3 linked regions of the Nothobranchius furzeri genome follow. The protein of the gene in region 1 purifies or fractionates together with the protein of each later gene. This does not show direct contact. Links are inferred from orthologs where the notes say so. Each region holds a gene or a part of one and is shown in the gene's direction. Other genes may lie near its edges. The genes, in order: ubiquitin carboxyl-terminal hydrolase 15, rnf40 and tut1.

Region 1 (8,574 bases):
CTGGATTAAAACTTTTACTGGAGTTAATAAGATGAGATGGCTCATGAATATAATAGCATTCTAGGATACCATGGTCCACTTTCCTACTGTTGGCGTTAGCATTGTAGAGGGAGTTTGCCATGAAAATCGCGCGTGTGTGTGTGTGTGTGTGTGTGTGTGTGTACGTGCACACAGAGATGGCAAAAGTACCGATGTTCTTTACTTAAGTAGAAGTACAGATACCTGTGTAAAAAAACTACTCTGGTAAAAGTGAAAGTACTGAGCTAATTTATTTACTTAAGTAAAAGTAAAAAATACAGGCTCTAAAAAGTACTTGAGTACGAAAAGTAAAAAGTAAAAAAATTAAACCTTAAATTTAAAAAAAAGCATCTGGTTTGGACTGAGAAGTTTATTTCAACAACACAACAATAATTCCTGGAGATATGATGCTATTAATGTTATTGCTGTCTCCACATATGGGAGCATTTAACTGAAATAGTTTTTTCTGCAACTCGACTTAAAACATTGTGATCATGGAATCAAGGTCACTTCAAATCTTCAAGTATTATTTCCTTCTGACAGCAATTGACTGTTTGAGACTAAATAAACATTTTATTGAGCTTCATCAGAAGCTGGTTTTCAAAGTTCTTTGCATCAACACGTGCCCTTTTGGGTCTGAAAATGAGTCCTGCAGTGCTGAAAAGCCTCTCACAAGCAGCCGAGGCAGGCAGAGGTGTGTTCAGCTTCAGTGATAAATTGCATACTGCTGGAAAAGATTTCAAGATATCCATAGAATCTGATGGACAGGCCAGGTAGGACTCCAGCTGCTTGGCATTTTCCTGATTGTTGCCCTGCCTGATGGTGAAAAAGAAGTCCTCCTCCTCTGAAGAAGAAAAGGTCGTGCCACCTGGCTGCACCACGGGTTGCTCCTTCAGATGACTTCTGATGAAGCCAAGACCTATGAATGACAAAATCAAAGATTATAATTTATCACCTATATTCGGGTCAATACGGCACATTCAGAATTTCATAATCTAAATGTGAACTACGGTAATCTCATGAAGTCAGAGTGACCTGATCATTTTTTACTTTTGTTGTATTTCGTAATATATCCCACCATAATTCATGAGTTAAAGCATCCTGTAATAGGGCTGCTCAATTAATCAAATTTTAATCCCAATTATGATCTGAGTTTTGAACGATTAATAAAATTAGAGCCATTATCAGAAGTTGTGCGAACAATCTTATCATGGATGTTCTGTACGTATGTCATTTAGTGCACCAGCAAGTGCAGAACATGTGTGCGGCCCTTTGAGCTGTTTTTCATACTAGAGCAGCAGAGCATCTTTCCATGGTTTCAGGCTCTATCCCGTGTGCTGAGACACCAATGAAACTTCATCTGTGTGCAGTCCTGCGGTCTGTGGTGGTAGCAATGTACTCAACCACATTCATTGCAGCCTTTAGATGTTTCTTCATTTCCAGTGTTACTTTATCAACTTTGTCCATCATCCATGTTGTTAGTTAGTGTTGTTCTGGGTCTCAAACCGCGCTCACACCGGGCTCTTTCTCGCCGCACCGTTGATTTTCCCTCTGTTGTGTTCCGACAGTTGCGTAATGACATCATCGACATGCGTGTAATACGTGCAGTACGTGAGGTAAATGTCGAGGTAACGAGACCATTTTGAAAATGTAAGGTGTAGAAAGTACAGATATTTGGGCTCAAATGTAGGGAGTAAAAGTAAAGTTGTCAGAAAAAAAAATCAAGTAAAGTACAGATACCTAAAAAAACTACTTATGTTCAGTAACGAAGTATTTGTACTTTGTTACTTCCCACCTGTGTGTGTGTGTGTTTTAACCACATTGATTAATCTGAGCCGAGATCAGTGGACTCAGTGGTCTCCTTTAAAAAGCAGCAGAAAGTCATCTGTTCAAGCTGGCTTAGGTGTGACCTTCATCACCACCTTCTTCTTATTCTGCCTTTCCCCTGGATCCACCGACTTCCCTCTTTCCTATTAATTTTCTCTCTCCCTTTCCTTACATTTTTATCACAATTTTTTTCTTGTTTTAAACACATTTTAAATTATTTGAAATCTTTTTATACTGTGTTTCACATTATTTGTTTTTGTGAAGCGCCTCGTGATTTTCATCTTGAGAGGCGCTATATAAAAGATCGTTTTCTTTCTTTAACAGCAGGGTTTCACTCCTTCCGCTGATTCTCATAATTAAGGCCTGACTGTGCTTCACCAGTCCTAAAGTTTTAATCTTGCTGCTTGGAGTTTTGCTTTAGCAGAATGTTTGTGGATGATATTCTGGAACGTGTGAACTAAATCTGCTTTTCACCTTTCTGGTAAACTGAAATGGGTGTCTTTAGTTCTGTTCTGTGTGTCTAATTGTTAATTGCTTCTGGTGACATTCACTTGATCTGTGTGTTGTAACTGAGTAGTTTGAGGGTTTGTGGTAAAACTACAAGGCCCAGGATGCACCAGGACGGCAGTCCTGTCAAAGTGAATTAGTTATAATTTAAAATAACTGAATTTGTTCTGAAAGAGAATCACCATGATGCTGATCTGTCGGTACAGGACAGTTCATCATAAATGACACTTTGTGTTTGTAATGTTGCTGCAGACACGATAGAGAAGGAGATGAGGAAGCTGTTCGGTATCCCAGATGAGAAGGAGACGAGGCTGTGGAACAGATACATGAGCAACACCTTTGAGCCTCTAAACAAACCGGACAGCACCATCCAGGATGCCGGCCTCTACCAGGGACAGGTAGGAACCTCTCTGGTTTGGATGGCTTCAGAACGGCCTGGCTTGGTAGTTCTTCTGCTGAGTTGAAACACCCCAGTTTGAATGGGTTTCAGCAAGGGCTGGACGATATGGCCTAAAATCAATATCACGATATATTGAGGATTTCACCTCGATAATGAAACATAACTACAGGTATGCGCAGAAACTAAAGTTGTCCACTAGATGGGGCTGTCACATGTATTACGTTAAGTCACATTTTGTGACTCAAGGTGCTACAGCTTCTTAAAGGGACATGAAAGTTGCCAACCTACACACATCTTTTCATTTTTTAAATCAAATTTATTGACATGGGAATAATTGTCTCGATAAGAGTCAGTAATTTCGATAACGATACATTTTCGATTTATTGCCCAGCCCCAGTTTCAGCTTTTCCTGGAGTACACAGGTGAGTGTTACTGCAGGAGGTTCTTCATCTCTCTACTTTGAGTTTAAAAGGCATCAGAATCAACAGGAGCCTGTCCTTGTAATGTAAAGCTGACTCAGAGGGATAGCTCGGATCTTTTCAAGTGTTTATGAAAAAGCCATAATCTGTTAATAAATGACTAAAGTTCGGCTATTTTAATCAATGGAAATATCAGCAATTAAAAAAAATATTTTATGAGCAACATTTTTTCTTCGCCTCTGAATTAGTCACACAGATGGGACATTTCAAACTTCCACATCAAATCCGGTTCTTTTTGAATTTAGCGTAAACAGAATGAGAACATGGATCCATCATGCCTTGTTACCACTGTGCAGGCTGGTGATGTAATGGTGTGGGGGATGTTTTCTTGGCACACTTTAGGCCCCTTAGTGCCAACTGGGCATGGTTTAAATGCCACGGGCTACCTGAGCATTGTTTCTGACCCTTCATGACCACCATGCACCCATCCTCTGATGGCTACTTCCAGCAGGATAATGTGCCATAAAACTCCAATCATTTCAAATTGGTTTCTTGAACATGACGATGAGTTCACTGTACTACAACGGCCCCCGCAGTCACCAGATCTCAACCCGATAGAGCATCTTTGGGATGTGGTGGCGGCACAGCTAATTTTTGATTGATGCCTAAAATAGCCAATGAAATTCAGAAAACATTCATATCTCATATGAGGACCCTTCATGATCTTCTTCAGCAATCTGAGTAAGAATGGTTGTGACTGGTGGATTGCTCCATGCGGTGTGTCAGGCCCATAATCTAAACGCAGAAACGCATCACAGCACCTTCAAATAAACCCTTCTACAAAAATCACCCTAAAGCTTTGAACAAAGGTCACCAATTTCCCCTTAATGCATCAGGGAACTTTAGTGAGTTTTTTTTAGTTATTTTATTATTTAAAGTGCTTTAACATTTGGACTCTAAAGCAGCAGCAGCAGATGGAGCCTCTTTCTTTTTCTGGTCTCCTACAGGTTCTTGTAATAGAGCAGAAGAGTGAAGACGGCACGTGGCCCCGAGGCACCATGGCAACCAAGTGAGTGAAGGGCACGTGGATTTGCTTCTTCGTGTTGTTGACTTCGAGGAGTTTCTCCACAGGAACCGATTGCACTTGGCACACTATTAAAACCACATGTAGAATATGTAGTAATGAGTTACTGCATGTTTCAGAAGCATTGAACTCGACCTTCACTGCACCGTCAACCAGAGTCCCCTCTCTTTGCCTCTTTTTGCTTGAACTTTTGTTGCAACACATCACTCTGTTTTGGTTTGAATTCATCTAAGTTTAATTTGATTGACTGTCTCACACACCCTTTATTTTTATTTGTTTGGGACGGCTCCTTGTTTTCTGCTCTAACTCATGATCTACCCTTTTATCTTTTGAAGGTCATCTGGTGCTTCCAATCTCTCTGCTTTGCCAAAGATCTCGCCTTCATCTCTCACAAACAATCATAACAGCAGCTTCAACAGCAGGAAGTAAGACTTGGCAGATGTGTGGTGGTGGTGGGTGGGGTTGGATCTGAAGAGCCAAAGATAAAACCGGACAGTTGGCTTGAATGTGTTCAAAAACCCTGACTACTTTACAATGGCTCTACAATTTTACCACCAGTGGTGTTTAAATCCATCAAACTTTGTCCTGTTCAGGTGACTTTCTGGCTGTGATCCTGACGTGCTTTTTTTTAGCTGACTGAGCTGATAGCAGAACTGGGGGACAGGCTTAGTTTGGAATAATCTTATATCATTATTTTCTTAAAATGCTCCGGCAGCTCTCCTGAGCTCTTGTTTAAAGGTCACACCTGAGCTGAAACCTGATGGGCTGTTAGTGCAGGTCAGGAAGAGCAGCATGAATCATTTTAGGATTAATTGACCCATGAGGCCTTGCTTTTATGTTTGCATTTGAACAATTTAAACTACAGCCTATTGGAAATGCAGCTTTTTTTTGTGATGAGTGGGTAGTCTGAATCCACGCTCTGGGATAAAACTGCAAGTGCAGACTTTCATTGCTGTCTGAGTGTGAATGTTTATGCATGTGTGTGGTTAAAGTTTTGCATTGTGCAGCAACAAACCTACAATAACAGCCATTAAACAACAAGCTTCCTAAGCATTTTAACTTAAACTTTTTGAACCCAGTTTCTGGGATCTAGAAAGGAGGCGAGTTTTTCCTCAAAGCCTGAGCTACCTTAGAGCAACACTAGAGAGTTTTAACACTTTGAGCTATTGCTCTCAAACTGGTTTCTCTGGTTCTTGAGGCAGAATCTTGAGCTACTCCCCATGGGACAGCATGCCGTTACCCTCTGCTGAGCAGTAACTGCACTAAACTGTTTTGTGATTCAGTAGAAACACTAGTGGGAGCTCTCAACCTGCTTCATGACAGTAGCCATTTACCTTGCTGGTTGCTAATATGAGGGCTAGCAGTTAGCGTTTTCAGCTCGCTGACCGTCAGTAAAGTTAAAGTCCCATTAGTTGTCACACACACAGGTGTGTGTGCGAAATTTATTCTCCGCATTTGACCCATCCCCTGGGGGAGCGGTGAGCTGCAGACACAGCCGCGCTCGGGAACCATTTGGTGGTTTAACCACCCAATCCAACCCCTTAATGCTGAGTGTCAAGCAGGGAGGCATTGGGTCCATTTTTTCAAAGTCTTTGGTACGACCCGACCAGGAGTCGAACCCCTGATCTCCCAGTCTCAGGGTGGACACTCTACCACTAGGTCACTGAGAAAGGTCAAGTATAAAGCTCAAGAAGAAGAAAAAGAAGAATTTAGCTGTTTGTTTGCATCATGGATTGATGGTGACTTGGCTTAGTTGCTACTGGACTTGTAAGTAATGATATTTTTTGTCCAACAATGTGGATTGTTTTACTTTGTGGCTTATTTACTAAAAGATGGCTCATGTTAGCGTTGGCTACAGCAGGCTTGTTAACAGCAGTTGTAATTCTGTGTTTGTCCAGTAGGGGAAGAAGCAGTAACCTAATTTAGTGTTGTTATCATTACCATAAAGGTGGGCTCAGATTCACTTACCTTACCACGCTTTTGGAACTGAAAAACCCTTTGATACAGCTTCCTGTAACATCATACTGTTTAACATATTTTAGTTTTGTTAGTAGTGCAACTACAAGCCTCGGTCAGGCTTGACACAGACTTGGGTAGATTTTAAACAAACACGGTTTAAAAGTATACCAGAATATTGTCTTAAAGGGAGTTTAAATCCCCTGACCCCCCGGCTCACGGGTCCCCAGAATGGGGTTATAAAGGTTATTTTCTGCTCTACTGTGCTTTATTCCCAGAAACACACATGTTTTACTTCAATTTAAATGCTAAATAAATGTGTGTTTCGACTATGTTTGTCATGTAATTAGAGATTTATTAGCTTGCAAAAATTCGTAATTAAAATGACTACAAGTCAGATGTGTGCACATCGCATGAGTCTCCGCGCCTCGTTTCCGCCAGCGTAGCTGCTGCTTTCCACATGACAAGATTTATAGTGTTGTTTTTCGTCCCACGTTTAATGCTGCTTCATTCTTCCTGGAAGAAGGTTGCAAAGCTCGCAAAACTCACAGCAAAGTTTCTTCTCCTCCTTGTCTCATTTAATGACGTTAAATTGGTGAGTCGAGCAGTTGTAGCCTCCTACGTATTTTTCACACAAAACCTAAAATGACTTTTGCCACCTTTCAAAAACAAGTGCTGTCTTGGCATCTAAATGGCCTTTAAAATTCACATCAAATGTTAAATCCATGGGACATATCAAACAGGGTCAGAAAATGGCTTTTATCAGCTCTTTGACCCCCATGTAGATGGGCGTGACTTAGGCTCATCTGAACGCACACGTCCGAGGATTTTACTCCCTTCTGATTTTTCTCTGATCCTTTTTTAATTTTTTTGGACTTTGTTGACTTGAGAGGTGACGTTTAATCAGCAGGTGGAGTGCTGTTGCCCTCCTGTGTGATTTTACTGTGTTTAGGGCCACATGTTTGTTTCATGTTTGTTTCACTCTACATATGGCTGGAACGCAGAAATAAAAGCCGTTGAATAAAAAAATCAGTATTGACACGAAGGGAAAGCGTAGGAGTTGGCTCAGCCCTTTTCTGCTCCTCTGTACTTAGATTACGATTTATAGCCATGTTGTAACGACTCTGCATTGTGTATTGATGTAGCGGTGGTTTTTTTTTCTGCATGGCGGCTTGAGAGAAAAGAGGGTGACTTGGAGAAATTGGATCTTCACTCTCAGCAGCTCTTCTATCCCTGATTCACCCCACAGTCAGTGCTGTCGTTGCCTCTTAATTATGCATGGTGGCCGTGCTTTTCATACGAGGCATTCCCATGTTTGTTATCTTTCTGATGTGGAGGTCTGTGACAGCGGGCGGTGTCCTGTTAACACCTTTGCCTCACAGCCACACACACCTTCTGCAGTCTGCATGACCTTCAAGAGTCCATCCCATCTGTCTTTCTCATCGCCTGCCTCTGCTGCTCACGTGCACCGATGGGGATATTCATTTATTCATTTACAGCATCTCTCATCTAGAGCTGGGTGCAGTTTTACTGCCAAGCTGGAGAAATAAGAGAGTTGGTGTTTTGAGGGGAGAACACACACACGAAGAAGAAAAGGTGACAGATGTTTTGTGATGTGTTTCAGAGGAAGGGTAGAGAGAAGAGACAGACCTGTGAATACTGCAGCCTCAGCTTAATGCAATGAATCAGCTGCTCCCTCCATCCCCACCTCATTTCTCTTCTGTCAGTGCCCCCCCCCCCCCCCCCCCCACACACACACACACCTTCCTATTCTCCTCCCCCTCTCCCTGTGAGCACCTCTAGCTTCTGTAGCAGTCGCGAGCATCCTCACCCTTGCTATAAATATCTGCAGGGACCCGTAGAGCAGCAGGGAACAGGAAGAGAGGAAGGAGAGGACAGAGGGAAGAAAGATGCAGAGGACAAAACTAGAGAGGGGGTCGGGAGACGAGTGTAATTATGATTATTTTTGGGCTTGGAAAGCAAATCCTTCATCTGGACTGAATTGAAACTGGTGCTGGAGTGGGTCCGAGTGAACATGAGGGCTGAACCGTAAAGACTGAAGCTGCACTTTTTCCTCCTCACGCTCTGAAAACGTGGCTTGTCCTTCTTTCGGAGTGGAGCAGAGCGGAACCGCGTCGAGGCTGCTGGTCGCTCGGCTCTGTGCGGACATGTGGGCCGGTGTGAGCTGGGGTGGGGCTGAGATGTCATGCTCCTGTGTTGCTGGTGGTGCCTGAGGTCTGAGGCGGTGGAGCTGGAGCTGGACAACAGGAGGGTGGACCACCGTGTGCTGAGCTGTGGGGCCCCTGTGTCCACCTCCATCACAGCTGCTTCCTTTGACCGGTGGGAGCCGGAGACGACCAATG
Region 2 (8,674 bases), on another chromosome or scaffold:
CATATGTTAGATAAATTTGATGAGATCTGGAAGTTATTTTTTGCTTTTTTGGAAAGTAATTTGATATTGTTAATGTATGCAGGGGGTATTTGTCTTTTTTCTTTTCTTTTTTATTACTTTATTTCACTCCCTTCTTTATTTTTGTTCTACTTCAAATATACCATGAATTCGGGTTTGCTAACAGAAGGGAAATGAAAATTGGTATTGGGCACAATGTTTTCATGTTTGTGTTTATTTGTATATTTATGCCACATAATTGTCTCTTGTCTTTTTTTTATGTTTTGAGTGGAGATATTTGCATTATATGTGTTGGTACCCAAATGAAGAAAATCAATAAAAAAAATTGTTAAAAAATAAAAACAAAATAAAAACAACAAATAAAATAAAACAATCTATAAAGAATAAAATGATATGAGGTACTTAATTTATATATATATTTAGTTTTTTTTAGCATCAGCATCATTTCTGTTGCTAGTGCAAATCTTTACTTTTATAGCCTGCTGAATGCTTTTTGATTTTGTCTTGTTTACAGCAGCATCTTTGTGTTGTTGGATTTATGTTGATAAAGGAGATGATCGATACTTTGGATGTTGATTGCGTTCAATAAAGCTTCATAAAACATGAAAAAAAAACAGATTATAAATGTAAAAATAAATTGTCATTTAACATTTAAATGAATAAGAAATGTGTTAATATTGAGAATACTTGTAAAAGTAGCCTTGTCGCTTATATTTTCAGTCAATTACTCTGTGTGCAGCTGTTTTTAGGGACAGGGATGGCACGGCTCATGACGGTCAGCAGCAGAGTAACGTTTTTCTACAAAACACCTGTAGAGCTGCTGCGTCTGTGAGAGAACGCAGATCGTACCGCGACTGAAGGAGCCTTTCGAACCTGACGTTCACAACCACAGACGCTCATCCAGTGTAAAAAATATTCTGCCATGTTGGCATTGTTGCTGTCCGTAGACCATTTCTTTTTTCTACACATCTTTTATTCGTATCAGCTGGCTTATCCGAATTGTTGCAGCGAACAGAGCAGGATCAGTTTTTTAAGGTGGTGCAGCACTACCTTTGTCACCTCGTTAAATGCCCAGTTTGCACACATTGCATGTGTCTATTACACTCCCCTTGCTGTTCGTTTAAAAATCCAGCCAAATCACAGACATTTTCTCTCTCTTGAGGCGACAACTATGCTCTGTGCTACATGTTATGGTGTGTGAATTCCCAAGCTACTTCAAATTGTAGGGCTTTACAGCGCTGTTGTCTCTGAAAAAAAAACACTGATATAGATGAACTTTTTGAATTTAAAACAAAGCCATTGTTATTCAGTTTGAAAATCTCTTTCTTAGGATTCGTTTGAAAAGTCACGTTTGTCGTTTTATATGGTTAAATCCGATTTTCCACAGCCGATTCCGATTTGGCCACTTTATTATGCCCACATGTTCAGTATCTAATCAGCCAATCACATTGAAGCAGTCGTCTAGATGTGGTGACGGCAAGTTGAAGTTCAAACAGAGGATCAGGACAGAGGAAGAGGATTTGTAGTTTGTGCCATCAGATTCTGATGCTCTACTGTGATTTTCGTGCACAATAACAGAAAATGGTCCCAGAAAAAGAAAGTATCTAGTGAGTGGTAGATGAATTGATGAACAGGCAGACTGGTTCCAGGCAACAGTGGCTCAAATAACCACTGATTACAGCCCAGATTGGTATGGTTGTAACCAGTAAGGGTGGTTCAGAAGGACAAAGGAGGGTCAACCCAGCACTAGAAGCACTTTGTGATTCTATGTCTGTGATAAGTGCTGTATGAATAAAAATTGCTTACTTCTTATTTACTAGAAAGGCACCAAATAGAGCTGCCAGTGAGTGTGTGTATTTAAATGATTTGTGCTTCAGATTTCAAAACGCGTTTTAACGTTTATTGGAAACTGATGGAGAGTGTGTCGATTTTAGAGCTCACCTGGTCTCCTTTTCACTCAAGGTAACTTTTTCAGTGAGGTAGTCAAACAGCTCTCCTCGCCTCATGCTGGGGACAAAAACAGACCCGTTGGTGCTTCATTGTTTCGTGTTTTCCTTAAGTAAACATTATTGTATTTTGGCTCCTTTTCTCCATACTCACAGGTCAAACACTAGGAATATGAATGTGGTGGACTCGTAGGAATCAATGAGGGTGACTACATGGAATCAGACAAACACAAACCAGCATTAGGTCTTGGTATACAGAAAAAGACAAATATTCCTGGAGCGCAGAATGGCAACATACTGATGGAGGGGTGTCCCTTCACCATGTTGAGGACTTGGATCTCCTTCAGGGTGGAGGTCTTCACCTCCTGCAGCTGCTGGGCTGTCATCTTCTCCGCTGTGATCTCAATAATCTTCACTGCCAGCTCTTGACCTGTGTGTCTGTGCACGCACCTGCGTACCACACTGCTCACACCCCTACAGCACCACACCAGTTCAAAAGAACATCATGTTCTTATCACCAACCAGGCATGGAGGATGGAGTGTCATGCTGCCTGACTGGACTTACCTGCCGATCACCTCCTTGGGGTCATACTTCTGGTAGAATTCCTTAGCTCCCACCCAGTCCGGTAATTCATCTCCGACAACGATGTCCTTGGTCATGATGAAGCTATAGCAACAAACTCCGTCACATGTCAAAGTACAGCTTGTTTACCATGAACTACTTGAGCTAACTCCTGATAAGGGGTTCCCATTTCGTTTGGTTTGATTCCAAACACAGACTATACCTGTGACTTTTTGACAACACCTCAGAGTTTAAACACACAAGAAATTAGCTTTTATCCTTTATATCAGTAAGGTGAACTCGTCTTTGGTCTGGCCTTGTGTAGCAGAGGGCTCACTGACTGGCCGAACAGGAAGCTACTCACCTAACAGCGAGAAGGGGAAGGAGACGGATCCCGAGTTAGTGTAGCGAAGCCATTAAATAACTCGAGCTGTTTATCGTGAAGTCACGCCGGATATCTGCTAGCATAAACCGGAGCGTTATTTACAGTTTGGTAAAATTCCTTTGAAGTCGTTTGAAACCGGTTCATATCTGAAGTAGCAATACTGCCCCTGTGTGGTGGCAGAGGAGATTGCGGGATCAAGATATTTCTTAGTTTTTAGACATTGACGCAATGAATCACTCAACCGTGAGATATTTTTGAAACCATGCGTAGCAATAATTTTAATGTAATTTTTAAATGTTATTCTTTTTTTTTAAATCGGTGAATTTGTTCAAAACCTCACAAAGTTACATTTCAACACTAGGTGGCAAAAGAAGCTCTGCAAATTAAGCGTAGAAGAAGAAGCGTTGTCGTCATTTCCTGTTGCATTATGTTCTGAATTATATTTTCGGTCGTTCCTTGCGAAGGTGCGTAACGTTCAACTTTTGTCATTTGTTGCATTTCTGTAAATGATTTTACGTAGAAATGATTCTTCATTTAATGATAGTTAGTAAATAAAACAATACTCCACCGTTATTTGCTGTGTTGGACAAAGATCGCTGTCCTGCTAACCGAGAGTTAGCATTAGCAAAATAGTTAATTTTAACAAGAAAATGTAATGTGCTGTATTTCTTTTAAAAGATGGCTAATAATTACAAGGAGGCATTATACACTCCTGACTTCTACTAATACGTAGCTGTAAATGTTGTACCTGCCCTGCGAAAGTAACGTTCACACGGGTTCTAACTGTATTTATAATTTGTTTAATTCCGTAATCTCTTCATGCTGCCTCCAAAAATTAACGTTGTTTGAACTTTTTATGAAGGCTAAGGAAAGATGTCAGGTGCTGGGGGAGGAAAACGTCCTTCTGGAGGGGATAGTCCCCCTGGTCCACCTGAGAAGAAGACCAAGAAGGAGGAGAAGACCACCACCACACTGATCGAACCAATACGAATCGCTGGAGTCTCTTCAACGGTGAGTCCCTGCAGATTTACTAGTTAAAATATTTTGAAGTGTGTTTATTACTGTGGTGTACTTTAACACGTAAAGTGTCTTATATTTTGGGTGTTTTTGTTGATGAACTACAGGAAGAAATGGACATGAAGGTGCTCCAGTTCAAGAACAAGAAGCTATGTGAGCGCCTGGAGCAGAGACAGGCCATGGAAGATGAGTTACGAGAGAAAATCGAAAAGCTGGAGAAGAGACAAGCCACTGATGACACCACCCTCCTCATCGTCAATCGCTACTGGACTCAGGTACATTAATCGTTGGATATGGCTGGGAAAAAAGCTTTAAATAATCCCTTACTTCTTTATGCTTTCTATCCAATCAGCCAGGTTTTCTTTTGTGTGCAGCTTTTCTAAAATTTTCTTTAGACTTTTACTGTTTTTTTCCACTCCTTATCTGTCCAGTCCTCATACCTGATCATGGCAGGATATTGTGCATTGTGAGTTTAGAAAATGATGAAGTATAAAGACATTAATCACTTTATTAATCTACTAGATTGCTCTGTTGCACTTTGTAGAAGAATCACATTATTTGTGTATTTTAAAGCTGTGGTTCCCAAAGTTGATGTTGGAGTTGAAAATAATAGTAATGCATGTTTAATATACTGTGTTTAAGCTGTGTTACATTATACACTTGTTTGAGACCTGTTATGTATTATTATATAATGTTAAGTGTTGTGAACTCTGGAACTGCGCTGCTCTGGGTGGCTGCATGTTGGAGTAGCTCTGTTGACTATTTGTAAGTTTTGCCTTTTCGTGGACATTTTTTCTTCTAGTTTCTCAAGAAAAACTGTATTTTTTGGACATTTTACTTTTCTGTTTCTGGTGCTGTGAAGCTTGGAGGATTTTTACTGCTATTTTTCACTTTTTTCACTTTTTGAACATTTGTTATGATGCGTAACCATGGCAACACACTGGTTTACAATCGGTAGCAGCTGATTAACATTGGAAAGGCTGAAATAATACCTCAACTGAAGCCACAAATCCCAAATGAGCTATAACGCAAGAAGTATGGATGCAGAGCGGGAGCAAAACGGAGACAGAGAAAGAGGAAATTCAAACCATCTCTTCCATTTATCATAATGGGCAATGTGAGATCACTGGCCAACAAAATGGATGAACTCCAAGCCCTTTGAAGGACTCAGCCAGAGTTTTGGCAGTGTAGTGTTATGTGTTTCAGTGAGACGTGGCTGCAGGACCATATCCCCGATTCCAGCGTCTCTCTGCCAGGATTCCTGACTGTACGGGCAGACAGAGATCTGAGCAGGAGCGGGAAAAGAAAAGGAGGTGGAGTGGCAGTGCTTGTCAACAACGGATGGTGCCATCCAGGTCATGTTTCGGTGAAATGTCGTCTCTGCAGCCCAGATGTTGAACTCTTGGCAGTAGATGTGGAGGTGGTTGAGGAATACAAATACCTTGGAGTTCACCTGGACAACAGACTGGACTGAAGAAAGAACAGTGAAGCCGTTTACAAGAAGGGACACAGCAGACTGTACTTCTTGAGGACGCTTAGGTCCTTCAATGTCTGTAGCAAGATGCTGCAGATCTTCTACTAGTCTGTTGTTGAGAGTGTAATCTCTTCATCCATCGTCTGTTGGGGTAGTAGCATCAGAAGCAGGGACCTGAAAAGGCTCAACAGCCTAATAAAAAAGGCTGGTTCTGTTCTGGGGACGACTGTGGAACCGCTGGAGGAGATAATGCAAAGAAGGATTCTCCAGAGAATCAAGAAAATTATGGACAACCCTGAGCATTCTCTTCACAAGACTGTCCGACAACGGAAGAGTGTCTTCAGTCAGAGGCTTCTTCAGTTTCGCTGCAACACTGACCGCTACTGGAGATCCTTCCTGCCAACAGCCATTGTAATATACAATAACTCTTTGATGACTTGATTATTATTATTATTCTGAGCTACTACAGCAATCAATTTCCCTCTGGCATTAATAAAGTATTTTAGAATTTAATTTAATTGAAATTGATGTGTGTTATGCTTCTAAAACAGTAACCATTCAAAATATTCAAACTTTGTTTGTTCTGTTTTTACTTACAGCTGGAAGAAAATGTAAATATTCTGCGCAAATATATTGAGCCAGAATCAACAGCAGCATCTGCTCCTGCGCCACCTTCAGCCCTCCCCGATGCTACACCCACGGATACCATCAGCCTGGCATCACCGTTGGTTACAGTGCCTCCACCTCCTCTGCCGGAGGCCCAGGGTGAGACTGAGCTCACAGAACCGCAGCAACAAGAGAATCAACTGGAAGACCATCAGGAGGTGCCACATCCTCCTGCTAGATCAGAGGAGTTACTAACTACTGTGGAACCGCCACAGGATTCAAAAACTGGTCAGCAGCTTTTTATTTTGTTTTCTAAAACGATTTTTTGTTGAAATTTGCTCCTGCATTGTGACATTCTTTGTGAATAAAATGTAAATGATAGTGTTCACGGCTTTGTTCGCACCTAATATCTTGTGAATCTGCATTCATCAAAAAAAGTGACATTTTTGTAATGAGCTGCACCAGGGCAGTGATTTAGGTCGTAATGTGGAGTTCTAGCTTGATTTGCTTTGTTCATAACAACTTAATATTATGTCCAGACACATCACCGCCTCCCCCTCCCTTAAGTGAGAATGCTAAGGGCTTTTTGACCATGCTGGAGCAGAGCAGCGAGGAGGAGCTTTCATTGCACCTCCAGGACCGCATGCTGTTCAGCAAAGAAGCCATCGCCCACTTGGTGCAAGTCTTTGACAGGCTGCACAGTCGCATCGACGACATGTGCAGGGCGGTCCAGGCTGCAGGTACCTAACAAACCTCTAATAACACATACATAGGAGGTAAATGTTGCAACTCATTCATTGATTGAATAAATGTTATTCTATGCCTGGATAAGCTGTTAAATTAGTTGTTTATCTTACGACTACAGGACAAATGAGTGTGGTTTTGACAGATGTTAGTTTTTGTGTATTTGTGTAACTGTTATTTATGATTAGTGGCAGAGGACGACAGCCAGGCTGACATCAGGCTGAACCGCTCCCTGTTGGACGAACACATCCGACTACGAGACCATGCCAACCTCCTGCAGGGACGACACCACAAAATGTCCATGGAGGTACAATTTTCATTCCTGTGTCAGTGTGCATGTTAGTATTTGTAAGTGTGAATGCAGAAGTCTGTGTATCCATTGATATTTATGAGATTGAGCATGCTTTAATCACAGCGGTTAAGTGTTGTTGTTATGATGCCTTGATTTCTTGCAGTACAATGAGTTGGTGGACAAAGTGACCAGTGCAGAAACTAAAGTGTCTGAGATGGAGACGGCAGTGGAGGACCTTCAGTGGGACATTGAGAAACTTCGTAACAGAGAACAGAAGCTCAACAAACATCTGGCAGAAGCCATGGAGCAGGTGTGTTTCATACCAGCTGTAAACATGCTCCCGAGCTTCTATATTTAGTGTGTGTGTGTGTGTGTGTGCGTGTGCATGTGTGTGTGTGTGCGGGATAGGCTCGTGAACTCTTGTTAAGGGTGGGCCATATCATACCTTTCATAATATCAGTATTTTTGTTCCCTGCCCGGTTAACAAAGAATATATCATGATATGCTAATTAGATGATGTCAGCACATCATTACCCTCATGTGGGTCAAGCAGAATGGAGTCATGAAAGTTGTGAAGGCAAACATGGCTGGAATCTCGGAGTGTTGGCTCGTATGAGTAAGAAGGGATTCGTGGTGGTTCTGAGGTATTTTTGGGGTCTGCAGGCCCCCGTACCTGTTACCTGGTCAGGCAGGTGGGCTCAACCCGTCTCCCCACACAAACAGGAAGTGACGGTTTGAATTCTGGCTTAATTGTTCTTTCACATTATAATATTACATTTTTTAGGTTAGTAAATGTGGGTAGAATAGAAATGTGGAATTAAGAAAATAAAAATGGGAAAAGTGAACTTTGGGGAGAATAAAATCTTTTTCAAAGGCCCCTAGTATGGCAGCCAAAGAAATAATGAATCAATATCGACAACATTTTTTTGTATTTTGTTATATCGTCAGATTTATCATTGTCGTCGGAGTGCCCTGAAACATCGTGATCATTTGAGTTGTTTTTGATGTGGATCTGAGCTTCGAGGCAGATCAGACCATCTGCATGTATTAAACATCCCAATAATGTCAAACTGTGACTCACTAAAGTCATTTAGTTTACATAACTTTTACATGAAAAGGTCAGAAGGCGGGAAGATGCACTTTCGAGCCAGGGTTGCTACCAAATGTTGATGGTATGACTCTAGTCTGGGGAATAATCATGGTTTCACAATTTCCACGATTATTTTACATGAATTAGCATATATAAATAACACAAACACATTCTGCAAAGGTTCTCAACTCCAGGAGATATTTATTGCTGCTTCTCAGAGATTCTGCTTGGAAAACATAAATGTGCTTTTGAAAAAAAAAAGAACGATAAATGACCCGCGCTTGTGTAGCGCCTTTCAGAGTCAGAGAACTCCAAAGCGCTTTATGCTACTGTCTGTCATTCTGTCATTCATCCATTCACACACATACACACACACACACACACACACACACACACACACACACACACACACACACACACACACACACACACACACACACACACACACACACATTCACACACTGGTGGCGGTGAGCTTCATCGTAGCCACAGGGATTCACTGACAGAGGCGAGGCTGCTGTCATATACAGCTTTACTGAA
Region 3 (7,590 bases), on another chromosome or scaffold:
ATATTGAAAACAAATCTGCGGAGCTGAACAAAAACTAAGTGAGGCTTCTTCTTATTCATTTTCTAAATGTCACCATCTTGAGCTGTAAAATGAGACACTGCTAAGGCCTGCTGAATTGGTTAGGGATTGGTCTCGTGGTTTGTTAAGTCCCAGCAGTACACGACTAAAGAAACTACGAACTTAACATTTCTGAAGGATGACAGAATGGCATCAGTCTCCAGAAAAATCCATTTAAAGATCAAGTCACCCCCTACCAGAGTATTACTCCACTCCCACTTCCTGTTTGAAAAATGCAACAAATGCTGTTGCCTAGCAGACCGAGAGGGTGCAGCCGCTAACAAATACACACACACATAGGCTCACAACAACATTGTGACATCATATGGTACCAGCTAACATTCTAGGAAACCTCTTAGCCAAGAGCGATGGCAGATTTAAATTCAAGTGTAGAGCAGAGTTTTTACCTGACAACGGCACAACACTGACAATTTAAGGCAGAAAATTAAAAATTTAACAAGTGCAAAACTATTGACTACATGTGTCTGCAGCACGATTAGACACACATTTATTTAGTTTCTCATTTAAAAAAGGTTTATTTTTGGGTGACTTGCTCTTTAAATCCAGAAACAGATCCATTTGTTTAGTGTAAGATAAATCTGAACATCTGTAACGGTGGCTGGTAAAACGTTCAGACTGTTCTTTACATTTTTACTTACGGAGATCTCAACTTGTGTGTTTAAAATTTAATCTGCAAGAAATAGTTCTTTAGAATAAACAAAAACTTGATTAAACACAGTGAATCAGGATGTAAAGTGGTAGAAATCCCTCTGATTTACTAAATACTTTGATGTTGTTGCCGACCAGTGCCGAGTGTCGATCAGCATGTGAAGGGGCGAAAGCATCAGACCCTGACGACTGTACGAGACACCAGGAAGAACCAGGAGGAGCACAGTGTGTTTGTCAGTGGCATCAAGCCTGAAATCTCTCAGACGGACATCTCCGAATACTTCCAGCAGTTTGGGGCCGTCACAGATGTTATCATGGACAAAGGCAAGGTGGGACGGACTTCCTATTAGATGAAGCCTTCTCATGAAAGAGGCCGGGTGTTATAATCATGGGCAGAGTGACTGATGGTGTGTGTGTTTGTGCTCACAGGGTGTTTTTGCCATCGTGCAGTTCAGTGAAACGGAGAGCATCCAGGCAGCTTTGTCCTGTGTAGAGCACCGCATGAAGGGGCTGAAGCTGCGGGTCAAGCCTCGAGAAAAGAAGGAATTTAAGTTAATTCCCAAGAAGAAGAACAACCCCCAGAACCTCCAGCAGGTCCTAGATCGTCTCAGACCCGACTTGTGTCAGCTGGGATCTGTGAGCATCCGTACTAGAACTGATTTGACATAATCAGAAATGAACCGTGCAGCTGGGCAACATATTTATTACAGATTATTTAAAGAAAATACAGCATGATAATCCTCATGGTTCATGTGTCGTACAGCTCAGTAAATCAAGTGTTTCTATTTTTCTTTTTGAGATGATTGAACTAAAACAGTTTTTCTCGCTCCTTCAGGTGGATGCCCAGATGAAGTTCATAGTTGAGCGATTTCAGCTGGGAGAAAATGAAAAGAAGACTCGAGACTTGCTGGTTCAGCTCCTTCAAGAGGTTTTTGTTGAATTCTTTCCAGGTGAGGGCTTTAAAACTTGTAAACATTCAGATTCTGTGGCTTAATGATAAAAAAAATCAGCGTTTTTCTGTTTTTAACATTACGTGGGTCACAGACAGCCAGATTCTGCCCTTTGGTTCATCTGTGAACACTTTTGGCGTCCACTCGTGTGACTTGGACCTGTTCCTGGACCTAGAAAACACGAAGGTGTTCCAAGCTCGGGCCAAGTCCAGCACAGAGCAGGTCTGACTGTTTATCTAGGTGCAAATCTTTGTAGTTCACACATTCGGAGCTAAAACGTCACATTTTTCTAACAAATTCCCTCCCTGCGCCCGGTCGTCAGGCGGGTGAAGGAGTGTCAGACGATGCCCACTCTGAGGACTCCATCCTGTCTGACATCGATCTGTCCACAGCCTCTCCAGCTGAAGTTTTAGACTTGGTTGCCACCATCCTCAAGCGCTGCGTCCCCAGCGTGCACAAGGTCCACGTAGTCAGCACCGCTCGCCTCCCTGTGGTCAAGTTCCATCACCATGAGCTCAACCTGCAGGGAGACATCACGCTCAACAACAGGTCTCTGAGGACGGTTTTACATCTCTGAGATGTGAATTAAATGAAAACATGCAGGAGTTATTGTTTTCCTGTTTTGTTTGTTAGACTTGGCGTGAGGAACACGCGTTTCCTCCAGCTGTGTTCAGGGGTGGAGGAGAGGCTGAGGCCCCTGGTCTACACCATCCGCTACTGGGCCAAGCAGAAGCAGTTAGCTGGTAGGATGCAGTCCTGTTCATGCTTTCACCAGCAGATGTCAGCAGAGCTACACTGAGTCTGATCCTCATTTGATCGTTGTTGTTGAATCCTTTTGTGTGCAGGCATTGATATTAAATGAAATCTTATTAAAGGGATTCTGCTGTGAAAAGCAATTACCTTTTATTCCAGGTCCGTGTCTTCCTTTGAACTCCCCCCTCGGTGCTGCAAACACACCTTTCATTAAAGAGTGTGTGATGACATCTCAAAGTGTCATTTTAAGATGAAATTGTGGACTTGGAGCGATTGCTTTGATCATTGAGGCCAATTTCCACAAATACAAATAATCAAAGCAAATTATTGCGTCTTAGAAACAAACTTTTTAACTTCAAAACACATTTAACACAATATATGAAAGAATTTGAGTTTCTGGGAGACTAGTTGAACTCAGGAATCACGGTTGGTTATGTAGAAGGTAAAGCCAGTCTCCATCGGTATAACACAGCAGCACCTTTTACAGAATCTCCTCATAAAGTTACACATTTTAAATGAGAGCTCTGGGTTAATCAAAATGTTTTTGCTATTTCGATTTCAGCTCCAGACAATCACAAAAAAAACTTTCAGCTAAGTTTTATTATAATCTGATTTGGATCTCATATTTGGCTTTGGCTTCATGCTTGTGAAGGACACACCTCCACCCCGTCTGACAGCTAGACCCCTGCTGGGGTGGAGCTTTAACAGTCAGCACGAGGAAACACAACTGGCATTGATATATTTTTAATTATGACTCCTTCGTGTTGCCAACCTAGTGACTTTGTTGTTTTATTTTGCAAATTATTCAATCTTTCTTGTGACTCGTTCACACCAGGTTCACACATCCCCTCCCACCCCCCCACCCCCCCACACACACACACCAGAGCACCAGCATCTGTCCATCATCCAGCTGCAGCCAGGATGAAAACGCATTCCCTCTGTTGTGCATTGCCCAGCGATATGCTTCCATACGGGTCTGTGTGCAAGCATCGCCGTTCCTGAGAAAAAACACATTCTTGTGTGTTTTTGGACCTCCAGGCTTCTGTAGCAGCTCTCCTGCTTTAATGACAGTGCCACCTGGTTTCTTCGTGAACTAATTTAGTACTGAACGTTAGTATTTTGAGGCTGCGCAGTGGCGCAGTGGTTAGAGCTGTTGCCTTGCAGCGAGAAGGTCCTGGGTTCACTTCCCAGCCTGGGATCTTTCTGCATGGAGTTTGCAGGTTCTCCCTGTGCATGCGTGGGTTCTCTCTGGGTACTCCGGCTTCCTCCCACAGTCCAAAAACATGACTGTTAGGTTAATTGGTCTGTCTAAATTGTCCTTAGGTGTGAGTGTGTGTGTGTGCATGATTGTTTGTCCTGTGTGTCTGTGTTGCCCTGCGATGGACTGGCTCTCTGTCCGGTCACACACAGCAGCCTCATTATAACATGACATAGCACAGACATTTCCTGGTTTATCATCCTGCAGGTAATCCCAGTGGCTCGGGTCCTCTCCTCAACAACTACGCCCTGACACTGCTGGTCTTTTTCTACCTGCAGAACTGTGATCCTCCTGTCCTCCCCACCGTGGACCAGCTCAGAGATATGTCCTGTAAGTCCCACCTGTCCGCTCCTACATCAGCAGGTGTTGTTTGCACGTGCAGACACGTGAGGTGGAAACTGCACGGGTGTGTTTAAAATTATTCATGCTGAAATTATACTTTAGGGTTTGAGTTAGTCTTATTTGAGCTATCAAGGGAAAAAAAATGTTTTTATTTGGGGGGGGGGGGGGGGGGGCGCGCGACTAAATCATCTTTAGAACTAAGATTTTTCCTCAGATTAAGATGAAAAAATGTACAGAAAACTAAAATGTTGTATAATTTATTTTGGTTATGTCTGTTTAATTTTCCACATGGAGTTTTCTCTTCTGTGACGTGATTAATCAGGTCGATGTGACCACCTGCAGCTACCGTTCGCCTCCAGCTGTTTTATTCTCCCTATGTAGCGATGGAGTAGTAATCATACATTTATGTCCTGAATAGATTTTAGACTGAATTTTGTCTCGACACCCAGACGGTTTAACCCGAGTTAAACACAGCAGCACAGGTAACTATCTGGACTTGTTTGTTAAAAACTGGATTATTCTTGTTTATTCTGTGTTCTTTGGCATGCCCAGTCTCTAATCTGTGCTAGTGATGAGTGTGATGAGAGTTATCACTGGGGCGAGGCCATATCTCTTGATGTTTTTATGATGCTCTGTATGTCTACATCGTTCACACACGATCCAGGATGCTGCAGCTCATCCTTTACCCGTCGGTCAACGACAGGAGCACATGCCACCAGCCGTAGCTTCTCTCCACTGGCCTTCTGTCAGTTTAGGACTGATTTAGAGGTTTTACTGCTTAGTTTTCATGTTTTAACAAACCAGTTTCTCTTCAATGGCTTTCTGTTGTCCTTAGAGCCGGGAAAGTAACTTTAACTGTGTGTTTTTTTATGATCCTCTGCAGGTGAGGAGGAGGAGTGTGTGATTGAAGGCTGGAACTGCACCTTCCCAAGTCAGCCGATCGCTGTGCCGCCCTGTAAAAACACACAAGACCTCTGTAAGTCATTTAAAAACAGAAACATGCTTCCTGCTGACATTTCCAAGCATCACTAAACCTCCATGTTTTCTCTCTTCAGGTTCGCTGCTCGCTGGCTTCTTCTCCTTCTACGCCCAGTTTGATTTTGCCGGTAGCGTCATCTCTTTGAGGGAGGGACGTGCTCTTCCGATCACAAAATTCCTCAGCCAGAATAAACAGGATGAGACGATGCAAGAAGAACAACCCACCAAGTCCCATCTGCCTGGTCCCAAACTGGGCCCCCTGAATCTCCTGGATCCCTTCGAGCTTTCCCACAACGTGGCGGGAAACCTGAACGAACGCTCTCACCGCAGCTTCCTGAAGGAGTGCCAGGAGGCTGACAAGTACTGCCGCAGCCTACAGTACCAGCACAAGTCCACTAAAGGGAAGTCCTGGGGACTTGTGCGCTTGTTGACCCCACACATGGAGGTGCAGCAGACAAAACCAGAGCAGCTGGCCATCAGCATCCCCTTCAAGGCCACTTCGCTGCCTGAGAAGCTTCAGGATGAGCTGCAGGTGGCAGGAGATGGTTTCAGGCTGCTGTGGTTCCAGAAGGTTTGTTGTGCTGTGGAGGTCGTACTAAAAACTGTCCTCAAGTGCCTCCTCCATGCTCCTGCAGATGCTGTGTTTAGAGAAGATCCAGCTGCGGCTGAAGGAACAGAAACCGCGTCGGCTTCCTTTAACTCGTTAAACGACAGCACAGAGAGTGCTGATTCTCAGGGCGAGGTGACCGTTGGTGCAAAGAGGCCTTTGTCCTCTGGCAGCGATTGCTCAGTGTCACCTCAGGGCAAAAAGCCAAGACTGGCCAAAAGGGGGCATCACGAAGTCCCTCCATGGACGTGCGCGCAGAAGCATATGGTGTGGGCTGGCAGGAGGAGAGTGAGACGAGAGCTCATGAAGGACGCAGAGTGTAAACCAGAGGGGAGCTGCGTGGACCTGGAGTCCCAGGTCTCAGCTTACATCGTGGAAAAAGAGCCGGGGCTCAAGCAGCCCCTGGAGTTCAAAGTTCAGCCCCAGATGGTTGGTGGAACCGAGAACACAAAGGCACTGCTCAAGATGGAGCCAAGCAGCGACGGGGCGGGAGTTTTCCAGGACTTCTTTCATTTCCTGGAAGTTTTCCTACCAAAGATGGTGGAGACAGTGTTGGAGAAAGGAGGAGGCGGGTCCTAAAGGACCTGATGAATGTTGGAAAACATGAATCCCTGACAGAGGAGGGAGAAGAGATTTACTTCTGTTTTCACATATTTTTTGTACTTGTTCAGTAGTGATTAGTTTCATGCCTGAATAAGGCTCCAGATTTAGCGTCTGTTTTAGTTTCTTTATTAAAAAATAAATAAAATCCAACTTTTATGCTTGAAATTGATAAAAGCGTCCTTTTTCTGTTCTGCTGAGTCAGGACCACACCCACATTTTACTCTCAACCAATAACTTAAATCACATCATTTAAGTCCAACAACTAAGCAAAACATTAGGTTGTCAGTTTAATGTGGCATGCTTCTGGGCGCGCCTGAAAGCTTTAATTCAGTCAGATGTTAGCGGCTGCAGCTAAGACTGATGAGCGTAATTACTCAGCTGGGCAGGCTGCTTTATTACAGCAGGACAAGCTGGAGCTGAGTGATGCAAAGAGCTCCCGTCTGCTGATTAACACCATTCATCTCACTCCTTAAAGGGAAGCGGCCAGCAGGTACGGAGAAGACGGATGATGGAGCCATCTATGAGGCGTCCCGCGTGCAGATCTGACACTGACTCACTTTATTAATCTGGCGTTTGTTGTGTAATTACATAGAAAATCAGTGTAAGATCCAAGAACTTAATGCAAAAACATGTTCTGGGAATTATTGAAAAAAATGTAAAAATTTACTTTTGCCAAATTTAACACTGAGATGATGTTTTAGATACTTGAAACCCTTTTTCTTTTGTGTGAGCCCTGTTCGTGGTACCCAAGGACAGGATATGAAGCTGTAGTTCTGGGTAGGAGGGTGTCCGCTTTGGGAACTCGGATTTTCTCTGCTTTTATGCAAATGATGTGATTCTGTTGGCGTTCGTGTTCAGCGAACCAGAGTCTGCACCTCTGAGTCAGACTAGGTCATGTTTCTCTAGAGCACGGTGAAACAATTCCTTTGGGTGTCAAAGAGTTGGACTAGACAAAATCTACCAGATATCTATCAGTCAGAAAAACAATGACGTTAACGTAAAGTTAATCTACATCTGTAGACACTAAGATGCAAGGAGGAGCCCATTTATCCACTCTAGTTTTCAGAGCATTTAACGAGGTCCTACACTCATATTTTTAAAAGATCGGCAGTGGTCTCTAATGCCTTGTGAGTTGTACTCTGGGGAAAAAGGATGCCGGTGTGCTTGTTTTAGCACGGAGAATTCAGCCAGAGTAGAAAGTAGCTTCAGACAGCAGGATTTAGAGTCTTATGTCCTGATATTTGGACATCTCGCCTCTGATTGGCTAACAGCAATGTGACTCTACCACTAACTGTTTGCTCTGCAACGGTGATGGTTTGTCTCCATAAATAACACAATCCCAGAGGAGTTCTGCTGTGTGGTGGAGTCGCTAA

Evidence for each region.
Region 2: the proteins of ubiquitin carboxyl-terminal hydrolase 15 (region 1) and rnf40 purify together in Homo sapiens (affinity purification with mass spectrometry; 4 studies listed by BioGRID and IntAct, with this or other methods). This does not show direct contact. The link is inferred for Nothobranchius furzeri from reciprocal best matches to the Homo sapiens genes USP15 and RNF40.
Region 3: the proteins of ubiquitin carboxyl-terminal hydrolase 15 (region 1) and tut1 purify together in Homo sapiens (affinity purification with mass spectrometry; 4 studies listed by BioGRID and IntAct, with this or other methods). This does not show direct contact. The link is inferred for Nothobranchius furzeri from reciprocal best matches to the Homo sapiens genes USP15 and TUT1.

What each region holds. Positions count from the first base shown.
Region 1 is NC_091741.1:53,838,931-53,847,504, forward strand, and holds part of ubiquitin carboxyl-terminal hydrolase 15, read left to right. Parts: intron 1-2,604; coding exon 2,605-2,750; intron 2,751-4,178; coding exon 4,179-4,240; intron 4,241-4,590; coding exon 4,591-4,680; intron 4,681-8,190; exon of another isoform or gene 8,191-8,417; coding exon of another isoform or gene 8,418-8,574. UniProt on the Homo sapiens protein: Hydrolase that removes conjugated ubiquitin from target proteins and regulates various pathways such as the TGF-beta receptor signaling, NF-kappa-B and RNF41/NRDP1-PRKN pathways.
Region 2 is NC_091756.1:31,910,331-31,919,004, reverse strand, and holds the start of rnf40 (E3 ubiquitin-protein ligase BRE1B), read left to right. Parts: upstream 1-3,286; 5' UTR 3,287-3,375; intron 3,376-3,773; 5' UTR 3,774-3,784; coding exon 3,785-3,922; intron 3,923-4,035; coding exon 4,036-4,203; intron 4,204-6,001; coding exon 6,002-6,296; intron 6,297-6,547; coding exon 6,548-6,748; intron 6,749-6,940; coding exon 6,941-7,059; intron 7,060-7,207; coding exon 7,208-7,354; intron 7,355-8,674. Other genes in the region: phkg2 (phosphorylase b kinase gamma catalytic chain, liver/testis isoform), read right to left, coding at 1,960-2,025, 2,119-2,173, 2,263-2,438, 2,530-2,624.
Region 3 is NC_091756.1:31,146,535-31,154,124, reverse strand, and holds the end of tut1 (speckle targeted PIP5K1A-regulated poly(A) polymerase), read left to right. Parts: intron 1-864; coding exon 865-1,055; intron 1,056-1,155; coding exon 1,156-1,362; intron 1,363-1,561; coding exon 1,562-1,676; intron 1,677-1,770; coding exon 1,771-1,898; intron 1,899-1,998; coding exon 1,999-2,225; intron 2,226-2,309; coding exon 2,310-2,419; intron 2,420-3,894; coding exon 3,895-4,017; intron 4,018-4,912; coding exon 4,913-5,005; intron 5,006-5,084; coding exon 5,085-6,193; 3' UTR 6,194-6,382; downstream 6,383-7,590. UniProt on the Homo sapiens protein: Poly(A) polymerase that creates the 3'-poly(A) tail of specific pre-mRNAs. Localizes to nuclear speckles together with PIP5K1A and mediates polyadenylation of a select set of mRNAs, such as HMOX1.